Linked DNA regions of Diceros bicornis minor. The protein of the gene in region 2 purifies or fractionates together with the protein of the main gene of each other region. This does not show direct contact. Links are inferred from orthologs where the notes say so. Each region holds a gene or a part of one and is shown on either strand. Other genes may lie near its edges.

Region 1 (6,915 bases), on a different chromosome or scaffold from region 2:
CCAGCTGTGCTTTTGGAAATCACCATTGATACACACACACACACCTCAAATGCCTTTTCTCTCTCATATAGACATGAAATATTCAAACACTGTGAGCACTGATCCTGGTAAATGTTCTTAGTCATGAATGAAAAAAATCCCATAGGAACAGCCGTTACGTGTTAAGGCAAAATTGAAAATGAAAATCCAGGACTGCAGAAAGACCAAGCCAGGATTACTCTCTGTTACTGATAAGCTGGCAACTGAAGCAAATGTAGGTTTGCGGAGGCTAATTCGGCCCAGGGTTTTGGTTGGGTATTTCCTCTTCAAATCTCCCCCTCCATGCTCCCTAGGTTTACAATTTAGAATTTCTAATAAATCTGGGGCGTGTTCAAACAAGCAGCATCTAAGCTTCTAAATGGACAGGAAAAGAGAGGTGTTATTTAACCCAGTGAAATTTTGCCTTTCAAATTTGAGTTTTAATTCACTGCCATCATTACAGGGGTGGCCGCTCTCAACTTCTGCCCCCTGACCTGCCATTTTTTTAAATGATCTCTTCCTTATCTCAAGGCATTTTTCTCCTCCCTTGAGGACATCTGAATTACCAGCACAACTTATTGAAGATGAGGTTATGTTATTAGAAACTTTTACTTAAATTGTCTGATCACTTGGAACAAAGCGAGGTTTTTAGACTTCGGTTCTTCTGGCTGCTTCATAGTGACACATGCACATCAGATACCCTCCTATATGAATAAACCAGAGGACAGGGCTCGGGGAGGAGGAATCAATTAAGTGATGTGTTGTCCCACCTTTTGAAAATGACAGCAAATGTCTTATCTTTCCTAGCATTGGTCCTTTAAGAGTCAAAAGCTCCAAAACTCTATGCCATATCAGGAAACAGTAACATGCTCAGGCCATTATCAGCAACTCATAATTGTTCTCACTGTAAGCACACAACCTGAATGCCAAATAAATGCTGTGGAATCACTCGGTGAATATGTATAGACCACTCCCAACTAGTCTGGAAGCCTCTTAAGAAGAAAGCACCTTGAACTTTTAATAGCTAACCATCCCCCTGCCCCACAAGGGAAGGCACACAATAGGTCTCCAATAAATAATCAATCATTGACTGATTTCTCATCTTCTCCAATGGGCATGGGAGAGAAACAGCAAACAAGTGTTAAAACATTCCACACTGTAACTGATCAGTAGAGAAAATAAGGCTGTGAAAAAAATTGCACAAGTATGAAGGTCACCCTGATAAAAAAAAACGTGGTGCAAGAAGACTACTGCACTTAAAATGCACACTATACATATTTGCGAGAGATGACAACACTTTCTAAAATCAAGGTTTACCAAATCGGTCTTCTTTGTTCCCCCATTGACACAGTGTAGGGATCTAATCCATCTCTGACAATCTATTCAAAATGTGAGGGGTTTTCCCCTTTTCTTTTCTTTTTACCCTTTGAACATAATCCACTCAGTCCCCATCCCCAACGTGCTTCCCCAGCAGCGGCGGGGGGACCGCTCTGGGAAGCCCTTGCTAGGGTACTCAGCGAACTTTGTTCTCCACATGGCTATTGAGGAGCGTCTCGGTTTCCTCGCGTGACTCCACCGCCTCCCTCGTTCTTCTCACACTGCGAACAGGAGTCAAGGGTGGTGCGATTCTGCGAGGCGGTCCGGGGAGGCGCTGGCCATGGTGCTGGCCTCTGAGCTCGGGACGCGAGCGCGGAGGGCGCGGGAGGAGGTGCGGTGGGTGAACGCGCAGGGCGCGGTGGGGAGCGGCCATCGAAGCCCCCGCCCCTCCCGACCCCCGGGGAGCCCGCGGGCCTGCACGCGAACTCTCCGCCGCTCGCTCCGAGCTGCATCAAAAAAGGGTGGGGCATCCAGCCACAGCTGCAATCGGAAGCCGCCCGGCCGGATTTAAGAATGGACGGCGGCCCATCCCCCCCGACCATGCGACCCCCTAGCCGGGGATCGGCCCATCCTTTACCCCCACGCGCTACTGCCCAGGCCCGGGGAGGCGCCGGCAGCCTTTGTGGGCGCACAGCCGCCCACCGCCGAGCCCGAGCCTCTCCGCACCCTGCACGGAGAAGGGGCGGGTAGGGTGGGGTGCGTGTGCAGATGCGGGGAGGCAATGTTCGAGGAGGGGCAGGACGGTGGGCACGCTGAGATCCTCGTTCTTCACCGAGCTGGAAGGAGGCGAGGGAGGGGCGACCCCCGCGCCCGGTCCTCCGTTTCAAACACCCCTCCCCCCATACCAACCTGGTCGTTGATGTTCTGCAGGGCTTCCTTGCCCGAGGCCCGCCGGATCTCCACCTTCCGGCTCGATTCAACAGATGGCTCCCCGCCGGCGCGCCGGCCCTGCCGGGAGTACGGAGGCTGCGGGTCCGGGCCCAGGTGGGCGACGTCCCGCTGCTGAGCCACCACCTGCCCCGAGCCCCGGCCCACCGACAGCGAGTCGAAGTCGATGGTCTTGTTCTCCGAGGACCCTTCCACGGGGCAGAACATGCCACAGAATTTCTGCCGGGGCTTGGGGCTGCCTGAGCCCAGGTTTTTAAAAAAGGCAGGGACCTCTTCGTCCTCCGCCGCCTTCCCGGATTGCTTCCTCTCGGCCATGGCGCGGGGGCTCGAGGAGGGTCCTCTCTGTCGGTCCGTCCGTCTGCTGGTCCCTAAGTCTGCCTCTCCCTGTGCACAAACCCCCTGGCTGCTGCCGCGGCTACCGCTCTGCGCCTACCGCAAGGTGTACAGAAAGGAAGGAGGGCTGGCGAACGGGCGGCCCACCGCTCCCGGTCCCTCCCCCTGACCCCGCTTTCTCCCCTCCCTGCCCACGCCTCCCCCCGCCGCGCGAGCTCCGGCGAGCGGCAAAGTTGGGTCTGGGCGGGTGGCCGCTGCGGCAGCGGGAGCGGAGAGGCTGCCAGTTCCCGGCAGCGGCGGGAGGAGGGAGGCGCGGGCGGGGCGGGGGCGGGGCGCGGCGCCGGGAGAGGAGCCGAGCGCAGCGGAGGGAGGGAGCGCCGCGCCGCTGGGAGCCCCGCGCTCCGGAAGTGAAGTGGCCAGACCACCGGCTAATGGATGCGGAGCGGAGGGCCCGCCGACCGCTCCCGGCTCCACCGTAAGTATGGAGCAGGGCACGCGGCGGCGAAGACCTGAGGGCGCAGCCCCTGGCTCCCGCGCCCCTCTTCCCCGCCTGCCCGGCCCAGGCGTCTCTCCCCACCACATTGCGGAGATGGGCCAAGGGCTGTGGCCCACCGTGGGGAGGGTTTCATCACCCAGGATGTGAGCTGATGGATGGGGAAAGAGGGACAAACTGACAGGCGTCAGGATACCCGGGGGGAGGGGAAGGGGCGGCACTGAGGATGGGGAAGGGATGGCGCAGGCGGCGCAGAAAGGTAGGGGCCATACGAGGCGCTGGACACCAAAGCCTTAGTTTACACACGGCCCTTGGTGGGCTGCTGGGAGCAGAGATTGAAACGAGAAGGTTCTCACTTTGTGCATCCACGGTGGTGGGAGAGGCACAGCATGGCGGGGAGAAATGCAGAGGGGCGTAGCAAACGGTGGGGAGCGGATAGAGAGAGACATAGGTCTACGGTCCGTGAGAGTGTAGCAGAGTCCAGTCCAGCACGGCAACTTATGTATTGCCCCAGGCGCCATGCACCAGTAACTGCGCCACTGCGCCAAGTAGAGCACAGGAGAAGGTCTTCATTTGGTATCTCCCGCCCCCGCCCAAAGTGGGGGAAAGCCGCAGATTAAAGCCCACTCCCCAAATCTCCAGTCCTTCTCCGGCGCCCCGGGCGCCCCGCCTCGTCCCCACCCCGCCCTGCTGCGCACTGCGCCAGAGCCGCGGGGTTTCCCAGGTGGCCAGACGCCGCGTGCCTGAGGCGTAAGTGCGTGCGCGTCCAGTGGCGGGTAGGAGATGGGGTGCTGGCTGTGATTGAGTGTCTTGGATTGTGTGAGGCCAACCTGGGGAAAGGTGTGTGGGGACTTGGTGTGTATGTACGGATAGACTAGCCACAGCCACAGGGCATCCAGGGGGGTATTTTGATTTGTGCCAGTAACACGGTCTCTGAGGGTCCTTCACGGCTTACTCCCGTCCCCACGTCCTTTCCGTGTATCAGTCTCTACCTCTGGTCGATTACAGCCCCGCCCCTCTTTCCACAGTGTCAAAATCCTGCAAAAATGATGCCCATCCTTTGGCGGCTCGAGAGAGAGGTCTGGGCATGCTCAGTAACCAGGGTGGGTTTGGGCTAAGAGGCTGTTTACCGCAGGACCGTAGCGAGGGGCAGTGTGACCAAGTATTCGGTCCCGTTGTCAGCCCTTGCCCCTAGAAGCATTAAATGCGGATACCCACCCCCTAGTTGTGAGGGATAGTTTGGTGAATGGAGTTAAATTTAGAGGACCACCACTCACAGTTTGGTGAGGAGCCCACCATGCTAGGTGGGCAGGAGTCCCCGGATGAGAAGGGGAGAAGGGGGAAGGAGAGGAATGTGCGTGTGGAGGGGCTGAGAGAACCAGGGGCAGGCTTTCGGACTTAGCACCAGATGTGCTTAGCATTTGAATAAAGTGCTTCTACGTGAATTACATCATTTCCTCCTCAAAGCAGCCCAGGGAGAAGAGTGCTTTCCTTCCAGGGCAGGAAGCTGAGGTGTAGAGCTATTGAGGAGCTTTGCCCAAGGTCACTATCTAGTTAAATGGCGCAACAATTACAGTGAAGTCTTCCACCTGAAAGTCTGGTTTCTTTTCCAACTTATCCTGTCTTTATGTGAGAAAATACAAGATTTTCACATTTTTTCCATATCCAAATATTTCCATACGGGTCATCCCGTATCTAAGAAGAGGAAAGTGAGGTACGGAAGAGTCATCGAGCTCAGATCCCTGGGCCTGCTGGGGAGGGCGTGACCCACCATTTTGCCCTCTGGCCCTCTGGCATGCGCCGCCTTCAGCACCTTCCGGGAAGACTCGGGAAATGTGCCTGCAGCAGGAGCAGCTGCCGCCATAACTGCAGGTTGGCATCTGTGGCATATGGACCCCATTAGGACTGATGGAGATTTTCAGGCCTGGGGAAGAACGGTGGTGGTTCCTAACACACACTCCACACCAGTAACTGGGACACGTTAGGAGCTCTTCCCTTTTCACAATACCCAGTCTCCACCCCCTCGCCACAGATGTGCTTCCTCTCTTTTCCTTTTTCCTCAAATGACCCGTTCAAGTTCAAATGCTATGAAGAAAGTGTCGTGTTAATAACTTACCATTCATAGCAAAAGAAACATCTTAATTTTGCTTTTGCAAAGCCTGACCAGACATAGCAAAAGAGAATTAATTCATAATTCTGAGTTTATTTGGCCCTGAGGTTTTTTAAATTGTTATACTTCTATTAGGTTGTAATACCTATATTATTATGTCATATTAAAGTATATTTTATAAATTATATTATTATGCCTATATTAAATTGTTTTTAAATATTTGAATGATTTCTAAAAGAAATGAAGCAACTCAATTTAGTAGATTTAATTAAGTTTTGAAGGATTGCCATATTTTTGAATAAGTGCATTAACAGTCTTCATCACTGGATATTATCAAGCCATAAAAATACACTATTATTTATGTATAACAGGGCAACTTGGCTTGGCTGGAGCTAAGATCCAGACACGCTGTTGTGTGGACTTGGGTGACATCTTCCTGTGCTAGAAGCTGAATAAGCTCCTTGACTCTCATGGAACATTCTGGAACGCATAAACAGGTATCTCACCACATTTCCTGATTTCATTATTCATGTGGGAAAAATCTTGAGTCCTGTCCACAACTGGGGCTCAGATATTAATCAGCACTTCTGATGAGCGTGCGGTGGGGAAGCTAGGTTGCAGGAGGGTCCCCAAGAGAAAAAAAAAATGTCACTGTAGGCAAAGAAGAGATCTGACAGAGTGGGATAGACACAAGTACAATGTCTCCCCGGGTCTCCCTCCACCTCCATCCCTAACTGGAGTACAGATGCTCCCTGGGAAGGAGAGGGCTGGTAAAACTGACCGTTCTCTCATTAGGAGTCCAAGCCACTCTGCAGTGAGACGTCTCTCCAGGACTCCTCGGGGCCAGAGGAGGTATTTCCCTGTTGACTAGAGAGGTGAAGCAGCAGAGACGGGGAAAGTGGTGAAAACAGCTCTCGAAGGTGCAGCGGACCGTCAGCAGGGGGTCAGCACCACCACGTGGCTGCTAGCATTGGCGAGAGAAACAGCAGCCACCAGACTCCAGAGCCACTGAGACACTGCCACCCACCGCAGGTCTAGAGACAACGGGAGGTGCTGAGCTCTTGCCACTGGGCAGTGAAGGTTATTGGTCCAGAAGACTGAGGCTGCTCTTGGAGTGACCTGACCCAGGTTCCATTCCCTGGTGGGTTATAAGTTTGGAAGCTCCTCCAGGATAGTCTCAGTCCTGAGGCAGTGCCCATCTGCACCACAAACTAATTGGTACCCCTAGGGTCAGAGCGAGTAAATATTTGGGACGATGGCACTGGCACTGCTGGAGGACTGGTGCAGGATAATGAGTGTGGATGATCAGAAATCGCTGATGGTTATGGGGATACCAGTGGACTGTAATGAGGCTGAGATTCAGGAGGTTCTCCAGGAGACTTTGAAGTCTCTGGGCAGGTATAGACTGCTTGGCAAAATATTCAGGAAGCAGGAGAATGCCAATGCTGTGCTATTAGAGCTCATGGAGGATATTGATGTCTCAGTGGTCCCCAGCGAGGTTCAGGGAAGGGGGGGCATCTGGAAAGTGATCTTTAAGACCCCCAACCAGGACACTGAATTTCTTGAAAGACTGAACCTCTTTCTAGAAAAAGAGAGACAAACAGTCTCTGGTATGTTCCGGGCCCTTGGCCATGAGGGAGTGTCTCCAGCCACAGTTCCCTGCATATCACCGGAGTTATTGGCCCATTTGTTGGGA
Region 2 (6,915 bases):
AGAGATATTGGCTCAGGGTGAATCTTCCTCAAGCAAAAAGAGGAAGACTGGCAACAGATGTTAGCTCAGGGCAAACCTTCCTCAGCAAAAAAAAAGAAAAAGAGCAGTCAAAGAAGGCTTTTCTGAGGAGATAACAATTGAAGTGAAAAGCCCTTCACTCAACAACAGTGGTTCTCAAATTTAGTGTACATCAAAATCACCTGGAGGACTTGTTAAGATAGCTTGCTGGTCAGAAGATGTGGCGTGGGGCCCAAAAATTTGCATTCCTCACAAGATCACAGATGATGCTGATGCTGCTGGTCCAGAAACCACACCTGGAGAGCCATCAATCTAGAGGGAACAGCTAAAAGGTGTGAATAACTTTGGTGTGTTAAAGGAAAAGAAAAAAGGCCAGTTAGAAGGGAGGGTAATGTCCCTGTCATTGTTTCAGAACCACTTAAGATGGTGAATTAAATTACCAGCTGTGGCTCCCAGACCAGATATGGAATCACAGCTTGTTCAATAATACCTTGCAATTACAAAGCATTTCACAGTTTATAAAAGCATTTTCACATTCATTATTTAATTTGACTTAATGAGATAAAAATGAAGGACTATTAGCTACATTTTAGAGATAAAGAAACTGAAGGACAGAAACATTATGAACCTGAAGGAACCAGAAAACAATTAAGTGGCAGAACTATGTCCCCTGACTCCAAATCCAGTGTTCCTTCCAGAACAGCATGCTTGCTTTTTTAAAGAGCAAAGTAAAGGATACATACAGTTGTTAATACTAACAAATTATTTTCTATGGGGCCGGCCCGGTGGCGCAAGCGGTTAAGTGCACGCGCTCCGCTGCAGTGGCCAGGGGCTCGCTGGTTCAGATCCCGGTGCACACCAACGCACCGCTTGTCAAGCCATGCTGTGGCGGCGTCCCATATAAAGTGGAGGAAAATCGGCATGGATGTTAGCCCAGGGGCAGTCTTCCTCAGCAAAAAGAGGAGGATTGGCAGATGTTAGCTCAGGGCCGATCTTCCTTACAAAAAAAAAAAAAAATTATTTTCTAGACTCCCTGCCTAAAAACATGGTGGCTTCCAGACTTAATTTGTTTCAGATACTGGTTAGAAAGCAACATTATCTTAAGATTGACACTATTTAGTCCCACGTACTTATTTCTCCTAGTTCAAAAACAAAGGATGAAGAAATGAAAAGAATTTACAGACTATTATTCTCTCCCCTGCATAAATATCAGAGAGCCAATTTCATAACCTAAGTCTCTCAGCCACATCAAACACAATTTTCATCTTGTGTTCCCTCTAAATATCTCACCTAATCCAGGTTCCCAAAAGAACACTGAATCCCACGTCTGACTATACTCATGAGGCCATGAGTAGTTAGTTACACATCCATCATCCATCCTCTATATACATCCATTATCATTTAGTATCTTCTCCATCAATCAACCCTTATTCTTAACATTCTTACCTGCGTGTCTCAATAATACTTCAAACCCAAAACATCCAAAACTGCAATCATTTTATCCTCCCTCCACCACACACACCTGCTTCTGTGCCTGAATTCTTTTATTTGCATTAACAGCACTGCCATCCACCAAACAAGAAACCTGGAACTCAGCCTAGACATGTTTGTTTCCCTCACACCAATCTCAAATCACTCCTCATCTCCATTCCCATGGCTACTTACAATTAGTTACTATTAATAATAAACTAGCTTCCATTTCATTAAAAACTACCATGTATTAGTCACTTTACACACTTCATTCTATCAATAACACTGTGAGGTAGAGAATTTTGTCCTTGTTTCACAAATGAGAAAACTGAGGCTAAGAAAAATTAATCTGGGCCGGCCCCATGACTTAGCAGTTAAGCGCGTGTGCTCCACTGCTGACGGCCCGGGTTCAGATCCCGGGCACTCACCGCTTCTCCGGCCATGCTGAGGCTGCGTCCCACATACAGCAGCTAGAAGGATGTGCAGCTATGACATACAACTATCTACTGGGGCTTTGGGGGGAAAATAAATAAATAAATAAAATCTTAAAAAAAAAGAAAAATTAATCTATGTCACAAGTAGGAAGCGACAAAGTAGACATCCAAACTCAAACATGTCTCACAAAGTCCATAGCTTTCCCCCATACCAAACTGCTTCCTTCTTTAATACCTGATATCAGTCCTTTACTACTCATTCCAAATGGGCTCATTTCTCACCTAAATTACTGCCAAGATTCTCCTAACTGGTCCTGCCTCCAGCCTTGCCTTCCCTTGCCCTTCAACGTGCCCCACGTAATCTTTCTGGCTCACAAACGTGATCCTTTTACCTTCTTGATATAAAAGTCCTTCAGGGACTCCCTTTAGTCTACACTGTACAAGGTACACTCTTGTACAGGATGAATCCCAAACTCTTTAGTACAGGTCCACAATCCCTTACCTGCAGTTCCAAAATTCAAAAGTTTTGAAATTTTAAAGATTTTTCATAAGTTTGCAACAAAACCCACCCTGAAAGAAGGCTATTTATTGTCCATTCCATTTGTGTGACATTTGTACGTTTCACTGCAGAAATATTAATGTGTTTGATAATGAGTTGTCAACCCAGATCCCGCTGGAGCATTAGAGAGACCTTACCAGGAAAAAGAAACTTTTCCAAACTATTCTGAAGTCTAAAATACACCTGGTCCCAAGGGTTTCAGATAAAAGACTGCAGACCCCTTACCTATTCAGCCCATCAAGCCAATCTAATTTCCACCAATCACCTTACACATCCCTCAGCTCCAGGGATGTGTAAGGTGTCCTGTGCCCTGAATACTCTCCAACCCAGTAAGCCACTCATCCTTTAAGAAACCTGTCCAAGGGTTTCCTCTTCAGTGAAGTTTCCCTGATCTCCTCGTGACTGTGCCACAACCATTGTACCAAGTACCCACCTCCAATGCTGTACATTATATATTTGTTGCCCGACATCAGACTGTGAATGAGCCCCTCACTGAGTATTTTATTGAATCATAGCAAAGTGTCAGGAACATTAGGAGCTCGTCAATGTACAATTAACTGAAATTCACGCCCAGGTCTCCCTAACTCCCAATTCCCTTCAAAGTTCATTTCTCCTTCACCCCTAAACCTTAGGATTTTTTCCTAACCATCCAAGCTCCTCATAGCTATTTTCGTTTCCAGAGTTCCTCCTTCCCAATGTCATCTTAAAACTACTTTCTACCAGACGCCTTCTCTTAGCCCCAAACTCTCCAGTGCCCTTTATCCTCCTCTATTTAATTCCTAGTCCTTCTTTCCCCTAGCCTTTAACAGGTCAAGTCCTCTCCCTCTAGGACAATTCATCTCACAGCCCTCATCCGTTACCTACTCCCTCCTCAACACCTCTCCTGGCTCCGGGCCTTCCCTCCCAAAACGCTTGTCACAAGCGATTTCCCAGACCCCCTCTTCTCTCACAGTCCGGGCCCACCAGCTGCCGAACCTGCGCTCGGCCGGAGTCCACGCCTTCCCGGTCCGGATCCGCACATCACAAACCGTCCTTGCAGCCGGTGTCCCCTCCCCCAGTCTCTCGCAGCAGGCACCCCTCCTTTCACCCTCCCCATATCTCCGGCGGGCCGGCTTCTCTGGAAACTGTCCCAGGAGCCGTATCTTTCACCTCTTAGACCCCTGAGGATCGCGCTGGTCCGAGCAGCCCCGGGCCCAAGCACCTCCGTCCCCAAATCCTCCTCGACCCCGACCTGGGGCAGGGCCTTCCGCTCACCTTGCTGGATGTCGCCGTTGCTGCCCCCCGGGATGGGCACGCTGAGCTGGCGCTCCGGCTCGGGCAAGCAGCGCAGGCAGAAAGAGTGAAGACAGGGCAGCAGCTTGGGCTCCGCCTCACGCCGGCTCTGCAGGCTCTGCTGACACACGGCGCAGGTGTCCAGGAGAGAGGCTGGCGGTCCAGGAGGCGGCCCCGCCGAAGGACCTGGGGCGGGAGCCGAGGCTGGAGCTGGGGCCGGCGTCGATACCGCCCCTCCGGCAACTCCAGGGCCCACTGAGGCCGCAGCGGCTGAGGCAGCCGGGGCCGAGCCCGAGGAGGCCGCGGCCACCCCCCCGTCGTCAGGCCCGGCCGCGCCGCTCTCCGCGCCGGCCCTGCCGCCTTCCTCCTCCTCCTCCTCCACCAGCACCGCAGCGAGAGGCGGCTCCGCCTCCTGCGCCGCGGGCCCGGCTGCCCCGGCAGTCACCGGCGCGCTGCCGCTGCCCCCGCCGCCGCTCTCAGCCTCGCCGCCGCCTTTGTTTTCCGCCATGTTTTCCTCTTTGAACCCGCCGGACCGCCCCGCGCCGCCCGCCTCCCGCCGCCCGCGCCGCCGCCACCGCCCCCAGCCCCAGCCGCAGCCGCAGCGAGAGCTGCTGCCGAGAGCGAGCAGGCAAGCAAACGAACGAGAGCGCGCGCGCAGGCGGCGCCCCCGCCCTCGCGTCGCGCGGTTGCAGGAGGGCGGGCGCGGCGCTCGCACGCACGCACGGACGTCCTCTGGAGGGAGGCGGGAACTCGGGGCGCGGGCGCGGAGCTGTCCTCGCCGCCCCCCCCAACTGCCGGGGCCGACGCGTTGCGTCCGCGCCACGGCGTCTCTACGCGCAGTGAGCTGTTCAAGTCAGGGGCCTTTGACGCTCAGCTGCCTTTGGTCCGTGGTGGTTACGAGCTCGGAGGCAGCGGTGGTGCGGGGAGAAGAGCGGGAAAGGGTGGAAGGTTAGGAGGCCGGGGCGCTTCTTGCCGAGAGAGCGTCTCCCGGGCGGCGCCGTCCCCAGGGGCGGGCGCGTCTCCGCAGAAACCTCGCGTGCCGCGCGGTCGGACGCCGGAGCCTCCTGGCTCCGAGGTGCCGACCTCCCAGGAGGGTCTTTGGGACCCGCGTTCCTTTGGGCGATTGTGCCAAAGGGGAGCAATAAAGCGGGTTTTTTCCTTAAGCTGAGAGAGTACTAGAAATAGGCTGAGAAGGCTGGGTGAGGAAGAAACTTTTTAACAGCCATTTTTAGTTTCTTAAGGTGATTGATTCTCGGACGTTGCTGCGTATCAGAAAACCACTCAACTGAGGAGCTCTTTCAAAGCAGTGGTGCCAGGGCCACACCTCAGACCTGTATCGGGAAGTGAGGGAGAGGCTGCTGGGTGTTGAAAGTCGCTTCAGCTGTTTCTGACGTGCGTCAGTTTGGGGAGCCACGGATCTAACCAATATTGTGTCCTGAGAGTGCCACTTTGTATCCTGTCATGAGTTGGGTTATAAATGCCGTAACAATATGGGTAATAGAAGCTTTCAGAAAGGATTGTCTTTATTTGAAAAACAAGTCCTGTGGGGATTTTTATGTAGTGCACAGCTGTTTTAGTGTTAGGATCATGAAGTGCTTTCTTCTTCCGTATTCCCAAGAGACTGTTATTCTTTGAGCTGGCATAAGTCCTTACAATAAGCCACCTCGAAACGTTTGTCACTTACTCGTTCAAAAATACTGACCTCTTACTATGTAACAGGTAGCGTTTTAGAGACGCTAGGATTACAGCAGAGAACAAAGGACATCCTTGCCTTCAAGGAGGTTACAATCTAATGGGGGAAGATTGACAAATAAATATATGCCAGGGAGTGATAAATGCTATGAAGAAAAAATAAGCAGAGTAAAAGAGATTGGAGATGATTGAGGAAGGCCTCTGTTGATAGGTTAACAAGCTTTGTGGCTCTCCTGCAGAAAGAATAGTGTTTCAGGAAAGGAACAGTAAGTATAAAGGGTCGGAGGCAGAGAGGGATTCTTGGTTTGTTAGAGGAACAGCAAAGAGTCAATGTGGCTGCAGTGGCTGGAACAAGGGAAAGAGTAGTAGAACATGAGATGAGTATTAAGGGGGCCAGATCATATACAGAAATGGTCTTCAATTTTTTTAAGTTTTGTGCCCTTGAAAAGAACTTTGAAAAACTATTTTCTACCCTGAAACGTAAGTTGACTCTAAAATTTTTCATTATGAGTGAAGTTGCAAAAAGTGCAATTTCTGACATTTTGCAATACTGACATTTTTTAATTGTTACGTTATTTTAAATCTATCCAATGGAAAAGTAAACAGGTGGTTTAACAAACACTGTCATCCATTGTAAAAGTACATAATCAAAAAAAGGTATTTTATTAAATATTAAACATGAAAAAGTGTTACTGGGAACGTCTTAGTGAAATGGCTGGTAATTTTTTTTTCAATTAGTTCATGTAGATATGGATGTATATAACATTACTAGGAACAGATAGGGTCCTATATCAATTCCAATTTTCATTTTATAGATGTAAGCACTGAGTTAAAATGTATATATTACGTGTATATATAATTAATTTATGTATATGTGATTAATTCCCTTAAAACTATCCTTCTATACCCTTGGAAAAATTTTTTCCACGGGAGTACCCAAAGAGTACTCATACCCCAGTTTTAACATGAGCTGAGTGAGATGGGAAGTCTTAGATGAGTTTGAACCAAGACTCAAAGTCATAAAAAGAGTCACTGCGGCCACTTTCTGGAGAAATCACTTGTAGGAGGTCCAAGTGGAAGAAGGAAGACCAGATAGCCTGCTAATACAATAATATTTCAGTCAAGGAATAATGGTTGATTGGACCAGATGGTATCTGTGCAGGTGGTGAAAAATATGGTATATATATAACAAAGAGCAAATAAAGATTCATCTCCAAATTCACTTCGAAAAAAATAAGTTAATGAGCTGAATTTCTCAACCAAAAGTTTAGCCTCCTTGAATTTTTCTTAACCTTTTAATGCCTGCTACCACTTGCCTTTATTAAAATCTAGTATAAAAGTGTTGTTTTTGAAAACTGTAATTTTATAGAGAGGAAATTGCCAGCCCATTAAATTTACTGTGTGCTGTGAGAAGGCAGTGCCTGGAATTAAACTGGCATGGAATATTTGGGGACGTTGAAACTGATACCC
Region 3 (6,915 bases), on a different chromosome or scaffold from region 2:
TCTAAGGTATTCTCTGTTCAATTCTGAGATAAAGAAACTATCATTTATTTCAGTGTTTTTTATTTCATATTATACAATTAATTTTACTAATAATTTCTGACAATCCTTAAGTAGACCTGCAAAAATGTGGCTGAGTGTGAGCCTTCCTATCTGCATCAGATCTACCCTGCTTAGTTTCACTTGCGTTCAAACCTGTATCTTTGAGGCCAAGACCTTGGAAGTTCAAGGACAAAGTGAATTTTAAATTGGTACATTTGCTACTTTGATGAATAATAAAAAAAAGGCCTTCAAAGCTTGATTAGTTCTAGCCACATTTGCCTGTCACTATATCTCAAACCACTGTACACAAAATCACAGGCACAAAAGATCCTTCCCTCAAAAAACAGATTCCTGGGGAAAGCAAATCAAAAGAACAGGGGAGGGGATAATGTGTTTGATTTCTCAAAAGTCTATTTACTGTCCAATTTATTTTGGTCCTTAGGCCTTTGGACATGCTAGCAAGTAATTATTTTTATGGCTGATAAAATGAGTACTAAACATTTGTCATTAATTGCAATTTGAAATCACTTTTTTTTTAATCTGTCATTTTGGTTTCTAAAACTTGTTTCTTCTCGCTAGACACGAGCCAGGTGTCCAGAGTTGACCGGATGCCAAGTCTCAGGACTGTCCAGTCTTCCACATCAGATCTTCAGCAGGGCCTTCTGAATATTCTCGCGATTAGAAAAATCTATCCCCCAGACTCGCAGATGCTGTTCTCCCCCCACTGGCTCTGCACAGAACATCATTATCTTTGTCGAGCTTCTGTCTCTATGGCAATAACAGATGGGAAGTGCTGCGGAATTATTCATGTTCAGGAAAGGAGGCAGTCAAGAAGGAGGGAAAGGTGGGGAGTGGGAGAGGGGGCACGACCCAGGAGCACAGCGATGGGGGCGTAAGGAAGGGAACTTGGAAGTGGGAGGGAATGAGAGGCTTGTGAGCCTTTGGTAGGCCAGTTGGGTGGAAAAGAGGAAAAAAAAAATCTATGAGCATAGGAATATTGCCAGTCGGCCAGCTCCAAATGTGGACCCCATATGAGCGACCCCGAAGTAGTAAAACCAGGATAAAATGGACGATAATGGGCAAAAAGGAAAAAAAAAAGGGGGGGACAAAGCTCCAGTCTTCTGAATTCTATGCACTGCGACTCAGTGGACTATTTCAGTTCCTGATCTTGTGGTGGGGTGGAGAACAGGGGATTTCTCGATATTTCGAAATATGACAGAGCAGCTCGGCCGAGTTCAGTATGTTAATTGGCTATCCTGGGAACACTGGCCAGGAAGACCGCTCTGCTCTACTCGCCCCTGAGGGCCACAGCCGAAAGCTCTTGGGCTGTACCTTTCCTCGTCTCATCTCGTCTTCCCTTAGAAAACAAACCCCCAAACCCCTCAGTAAACACTGCAGAAACATGTAATTTCTAGCACCCTTTCGGAACCGAGAGAGCAGTCTGGTGGGAAGAGGGGAAAGGGAGGCTGAGAAGTAGGGACAAAAATGTTTCTCTCGGTTTTGCCGGAACTTTGGCCAGCCCTCGGGCCTGGCCCGATGGCGGATGGAGGTCAGCCCGGGGAAGGCGTCTGGGCGGAGGCGGCCCGGGCCAGGCGGGGCCGCGGGGGTGGGGCGGGGCGCAGGCAGCTGGCGGGGCGGCCCTCGGGCGGGAGGCCCCGCGGGGGTGGGGGGCAGCCCCGGCGAGCAGGGCCCACGCTGGGGGCGCTGCGGGGCGGCCGCCACCCGGCTGCCTCCGGGGCGGGGCGGCCCAGCTGCGGCCCCGCGGGGGGAGGGGCGGCCGTGCCTGACCTCGGGCGGCGGCGCTCTGCCGGGCGGGCCCCGCCTCCGCTCCGCCGGCTGCTGGGGTCGCGCACAGTGCACCGCGCGGCCGCCCTGCCCCCCGTCCCCCTGGCGCGCGGCGGCCGAGCGGCCCGGGCGCCCCCGGGTCTGGCCCGTCACCACAGAGCAGCGGGTGGGGCGGGGGGCGGGGCGGTGGCGGCCCCAGACAGCCGGCTGAGCGACTCGAGGAAGGAAGGAGGGCGGGCGGACGGCGGTGGGGGTGGGGCGGGGAGGGAACATCCTGTCTGCGCCGGGTGCACCGCAGACAGCACCGCGCGCCAGCCGCCCAGACGGCGCGCGGGGCCGGGAGCGCCGGGCGCGCGCCTGGGGGGTGGGGCGCGCGCGCGAGACGACGGGGCGGGGGGAGCCCGGGGGAGCCACAATAGGCCAGACGGCGCGCGCGTCCCTGAGGGACTGGGAGCTTCGAGGCCAGGGCGGAGACGGCGACGCCGGCGGGCCCGCGCGCGCGGTGCCGCCGCTGGCTCCGTTCCCTCCCCTCCCCTCCCCCTCCCGCCGCCCTCGCTCTCCCCCGGGCGGCCGGAGACGGCGGCGGCGTCTGCGGGAAGCCGTGTGTCTCCGCAGTGACGTGGGCGGGCCGAGGGCTCGGTGACGTCAGAGGGCTGTGTGTAGCGATGTGTGTGGGGTTCGGAGCGGCGCCGGCACAGCCGAAGGGAGCGGGCGAGCGGCGGCGGCGGCGGGCACAGGTGCGGCCCGGGCTCGCGAGGGGGACGCGGCGGGAGGAGAGGGGCGCGGGGCCCCCCGGGAGCCCGACGGCGGCGCTAGGGGCGGGTGAGGAGTTAACAAAGCTCGTCGAGCTTCGCCGGGAGCGGAGGCCGGAGTCGGGGGTCCGGATGCGCGGGTCCCGGGTGGGGTCGGGGCCACGGGCGGCGCGGGGCGGGGGTCCCACGGCGGATCGTGCCTCGCTGACCCCGGGCGGTGGGCGCGGGCAGGGGAAGGGCGCTGCACTTGACCGGAGCCGTCGGGACCCCGGAGACCAGCACGCCCGTCGCCGCCTCCCCCACCTCCGGCGCCGGTCTGCGCTCGGTGGGGATGCCCCGAGCTCGACCTGGTCGACCGGCGCCCGGCGGCGCGGGGATCCCGGCTCGGGCGCCCCACCCGCCCGCTGACCCCTCTCCCTTCTGGCTCCGGGCGGGCGGGGGGAGGTGCCGTCTTAGGGGTGCTGGGGTAACACCCGAAAACTTCCCGGGGAGAGGGTGCGCGGGGGATTTCCACCGTCCTCCCCGCGGCCCCCGCAGTGGGGCCGTGTTGCGAGGGCACTTGGGGTTGTCGTGAGACTGCGGGTGGGGGTTGGGGGATTCCTCTTCCTGCACTTCCCACTCCCCCCTTGCACACCCCAAGGCGTCCCGGGTGCCTTGTCTTCGACTCTTCCCCTCCCCCTCGGGTTTGAGATGGGTGGGCGGCTTTGCGTGGGCCGAGGATTTCAGGGTTTGGGGGGCTCCCCGGTTCTAGGTCATGCCTGCTGCCCTCTTCCTTGGCCTGCGTTGGCTGAGGTGTTCCTGTGGTGGGCGAAAGTCAGTACATTGGCTACTGGCCTTGGTCCTTAACCCTTTGGGTCTGTTTTAAGGTAAATTGCTGGGAGTTTGGGAGGCAAAAATTTCTATTTATTGGATTTCTTTTGGATTTTTCTGTCAAGAAGGAAGTGGAAGAAGAATCTTTTCTTTTTCCCTCTTCCTCCATTTGCATTCTTTGTGAGGTCTGTCTGCCTTGTGCTTTTTGTCCCGGATTAGTCTTGTTCAAGGATGGAGATTCCCAGGAGTGGAGTCTCTAGCTTTTGGCTTCCATTAAGCAAATTCGCTAATCTTTTAAAGGGAATGTTAATTTTTGCCTGCAGTCATTCCAGAAAAATAGCATAAACTGACCAGATGAATTGATGCACTTAAGATTGTAACTTAGTTACATATGGTAGATATGTTAACTCGTGTCTGATTTTTTTGGATCAAACTGGTGTTTTTTTTTTTTTTAAATTAGGAGATGAAGTAATGGATTATTTTAGTTAAAATGGCATAACTGAGAAAGCCTCTAGTACTGAGTTTTGGGTGAGATGATCTGTTTAAGGTTCTTCCAATTCTGAGTTGGGGTAGCCCTCACCCTCTTAAGGGATATTACTGCTCTCTTTACCCATTCTCCAAATTGCTTTCCTATTTGAATGAAGGTTCTTCTAGTTAACTGGTGTTAGATTTAAAAAAAAATGAAGTGTCACCTTTGGTAAAGTGAACTTAGTTTAAGATTAAGAAACTAGTTTCAAACTGAGCCTTTGGCCTCTGGAGCAAATTCAAATGTAACTCTTCCCCCATCCCCATTCTCTTCCAGATTCATTAAAAGAAGAATGAACAGTAATCCTTGAAGATAACTGGCCAGTTTTTCTTTAGGTATCATTTTTAACTGTAGAAGTTCAAGTGGAGTGAGAGGCTCTTGCTGGTGTGAGGATTTATTCAAGTCTTCAGGTTGTCGACACAGACCAACAGATCATTGTTTTTAGAGAAGAATTTTTTTTCTTTTTTTGGTGTCCTTGGTGCCAAAAATTAAATTTGGGTGCATCATTTTGACTTGTGTTTGTGTCTAGGTTTTATGATACAGTAATCACATAAACTTTTCATGTGTTTTGCTTAAAACCAAACCAAACCATTGCATTGAACCTGGACATCTTGAATTGAGAGGATTGGTAACTTTATTTTAATACGTATATCCGAAGAATTAAAAAAGAAAAAAAAAAACTTCCTCAGAGGTGTGCCTCTTCAAATCATATTCTTTATTATTAAAGACAAAACAAGGAATTTTTAGCATTTGTAGTGAAATTATACTAGAGTATAAGCAGAACCAAAACAAAGTTGCAAAATCTATTCATTAGGGAGATCTCTCTTTGGAAATTTAAATTTTCTATGAGAGTAAATTACCATAAGTATTGGTGTATATCGCTTTTCTCTCTTCAAATAAGCAACTAAATAACAATGCAAATCTCAGACTTACTTATTTAACCGTAGTTTTTAGCAATGGAAAACCTACAGACAAATTTCCCCTTGGTTCAGGGTTCCAATAAAAAACTGAATGGGATGGGAGATGATGGCAGCCCTCCAGTGAAAAAAATGATGACAGACATTCATGCAAATGGAAGAATGATGATCAACAAGATGCCAACAGTAAAGAAGGAACACTTGGATGACTATGAAGCGCCCATGGAAACTAATGGAGAGCATGTCAAGCGAACCTGTGCCTCCGTGCCTGAACCTTTGCATTTAAATCCCAGTTTGAAACACACTTTGGCACAATTCCACTTAAGTAGTCAGAGCTCTCTGGGTGGACCAGCAGCATTCTCCGCTCGGTATTCCCAAGAAAGCATGTCACCTACTGTATTTCTGCCTCTTCCATCTCCTCAGGTTCTTCCTGGTCCACTACTCATCCCTTCTGATAGCTCCACAGAACTCACCCAGACTGTATTGGAAGGGGAGTCTATTTCGTGTTTTCAGGTTGGAGGAGAAAAGAGACTCTGTTTGCCCCAAGTCTTAAATTCTGTTCTCCGTGAATTTTCACTCCAGCAAATAAATACAGTGTGTGACGAGTTGTACATCTATTGTTCAAGGTGTACTTCAGACCAGCTTCATATCTTAAAGGTCCTAGGAATACTCCCATTCAATGCCCCATCCTGTGGGCTGATCACATTAACTGATGCACAAAGACTATGTAATGCTTTATTGCGGCCACGTACTTTTCCTCAAAATGGCAGCATATTGCCTGCTAAAAACTCATTGGCCCAGTTAAAGGAAACTGGCAGTGCCTTTGAAGTGGAACATGAATGCTTGGGCAAATGTCAGGGTCTGTTTGCACCCCAGTTTTATGTTCAGCCTGATGCTCCGTGTATTCAGTGTCTGGAGTGCTGTGGAATGTTTGCGCCCCAGACATTTGTGATGCATTCTCACAGATCACCTGACAAAAGGACTTGCCACTGGGGCTTTGAATCAGCCAAGTGGCATTGCTATCTTCATGTGAACCAAAAATACCTAGGGACACCTGAGGAAAAGAAACTGAAGATAATTTTAGAAGAAATGAAGGAGAAATTTAGCATAAGAAATGGAAAGAGAACGCAATCCAAGGTAAGTTTTTTTTTTTTTTTTAAATAGCAATTTTGAATAACGGTAATGGTTTACTTTGAAATCAAAAGTCTATTTAGAATGTAACGTAACCTGTGTGTTAAACTGTTAGTGCTCATATAACAACAACAAGAAATACTGATCTATGTGATATGTTTGTTTAACACATTTTAGGCTATAAAGTGCTTTCCTGTGTGCGTTCTCATTTGATCTTCCAAACAGCTTAGTGAGAGAAGTAGAATTATTCCCATTTTACAGGTTCAGAGAGATCAAGTGGCTTTCCCAAGATTACATAGCCAGAGAGTGGAGGATTTGGGGCTTCTTTCTCAAGTCATGTACTCTTTTTCACGCGTCCTCCTTTTTGATGACTATATTGGTTGTTTTCCTAGGAGTGAAGATAATTTACACTTCGGTGTTATTTCCATTTGCAAATGGTATAATAGCTAGCCAAAACAATTCTGGTGGTGGGCTCCTCACAGCATTTTTTCAAAGGTACATCTACGATTTCTGACATTATTTCTATAGTTGGATGTTTGGCCTTGATCAATATTAGAAACAAATGGAAAAAACAGATGTATCTGAAGAATTTGTGATTCTTTTTTTTTTTGTGAGGAAGATCAGCCCTGAGCTAACATCTGCCAATCTTGTTTTTGCTGAGGAAGACTGGCCCTGGGCTAACATCCGTGCCCATCTTCCTCCACTTTATATGGGACGCCACCACAGCATGGCTTGACAAGTGGTGTGTCAGTGCGCGCCCGGGATCCGAACCGGCGAACCCCAGGCTGCTGCAGCGGAGTGCGCACACTTAACCGCTTGCGCCACCTGGCCGGCCCCTAGATTCTTTTTTTAAAAAGGAATAATTTTAAAAAATTATGACAGATAGAAAAAAGAAAAGATTATTTTAGACTAAGTAAATATTAATATAAAAATGTATCAGTAGAGTGATCTTAAA

The links.
Region 1: the proteins of TRIM33 (region 2) and PNMA2 purify together in Homo sapiens (affinity purification with mass spectrometry; 3 studies listed by BioGRID and IntAct, with this or other methods). This does not show direct contact. The link is inferred for Diceros bicornis minor from reciprocal best matches to the Homo sapiens genes TRIM33 and PNMA2.
Region 3: the proteins of TRIM33 (region 2) and SKIL purify together in Homo sapiens (affinity purification with western blotting; 4 studies listed by BioGRID and IntAct, with this or other methods). This does not show direct contact. The link is inferred for Diceros bicornis minor from reciprocal best matches to the Homo sapiens genes TRIM33 and SKIL.

Annotation. Positions count from the first base shown.
Region 1 is NC_080750.1:67,422,833-67,429,747, forward strand, and holds the start of PNMA2 (paraneoplastic antigen Ma2), read left to right. Parts: upstream 1-3,009; 5' UTR 3,010-3,091; intron 3,092-4,925; exon of another isoform or gene 4,926-4,981; intron 4,982-5,590; 5' UTR 5,591-5,716; intron 5,717-6,014; 5' UTR 6,015-6,474; coding exon 6,475-6,915. Other genes in the region: DPYSL2 (dihydropyrimidinase-related protein 2), read right to left, coding at 2,245-2,598.
Region 2 is NC_080743.1:47,166,343-47,173,257, forward strand, and holds the start of TRIM33 (E3 ubiquitin-protein ligase TRIM33), read right to left. Parts: upstream 4,275-6,915; 5' UTR 4,262-4,274; coding exon 3,736-4,261; intron 1-3,735. UniProt on the Homo sapiens protein: Acts as an E3 ubiquitin-protein ligase. Promotes SMAD4 ubiquitination, nuclear exclusion and degradation via the ubiquitin proteasome pathway. According to PubMed:16751102, does not promote a decrease in the level of endogenous SMAD4.
Region 3 is NC_080754.1:51,560,434-51,567,348, reverse strand, and holds the start of SKIL (ski-like protein), read left to right. Parts: upstream 1-2,361; 5' UTR 2,362-2,561; intron 2,562-3,151; exon of another isoform or gene 3,152-3,442; intron 3,443-4,188; 5' UTR 4,189-4,868; coding exon 4,869-5,966; intron 5,967-6,915. UniProt on the Homo sapiens protein: May have regulatory role in cell division or differentiation in response to extracellular signals.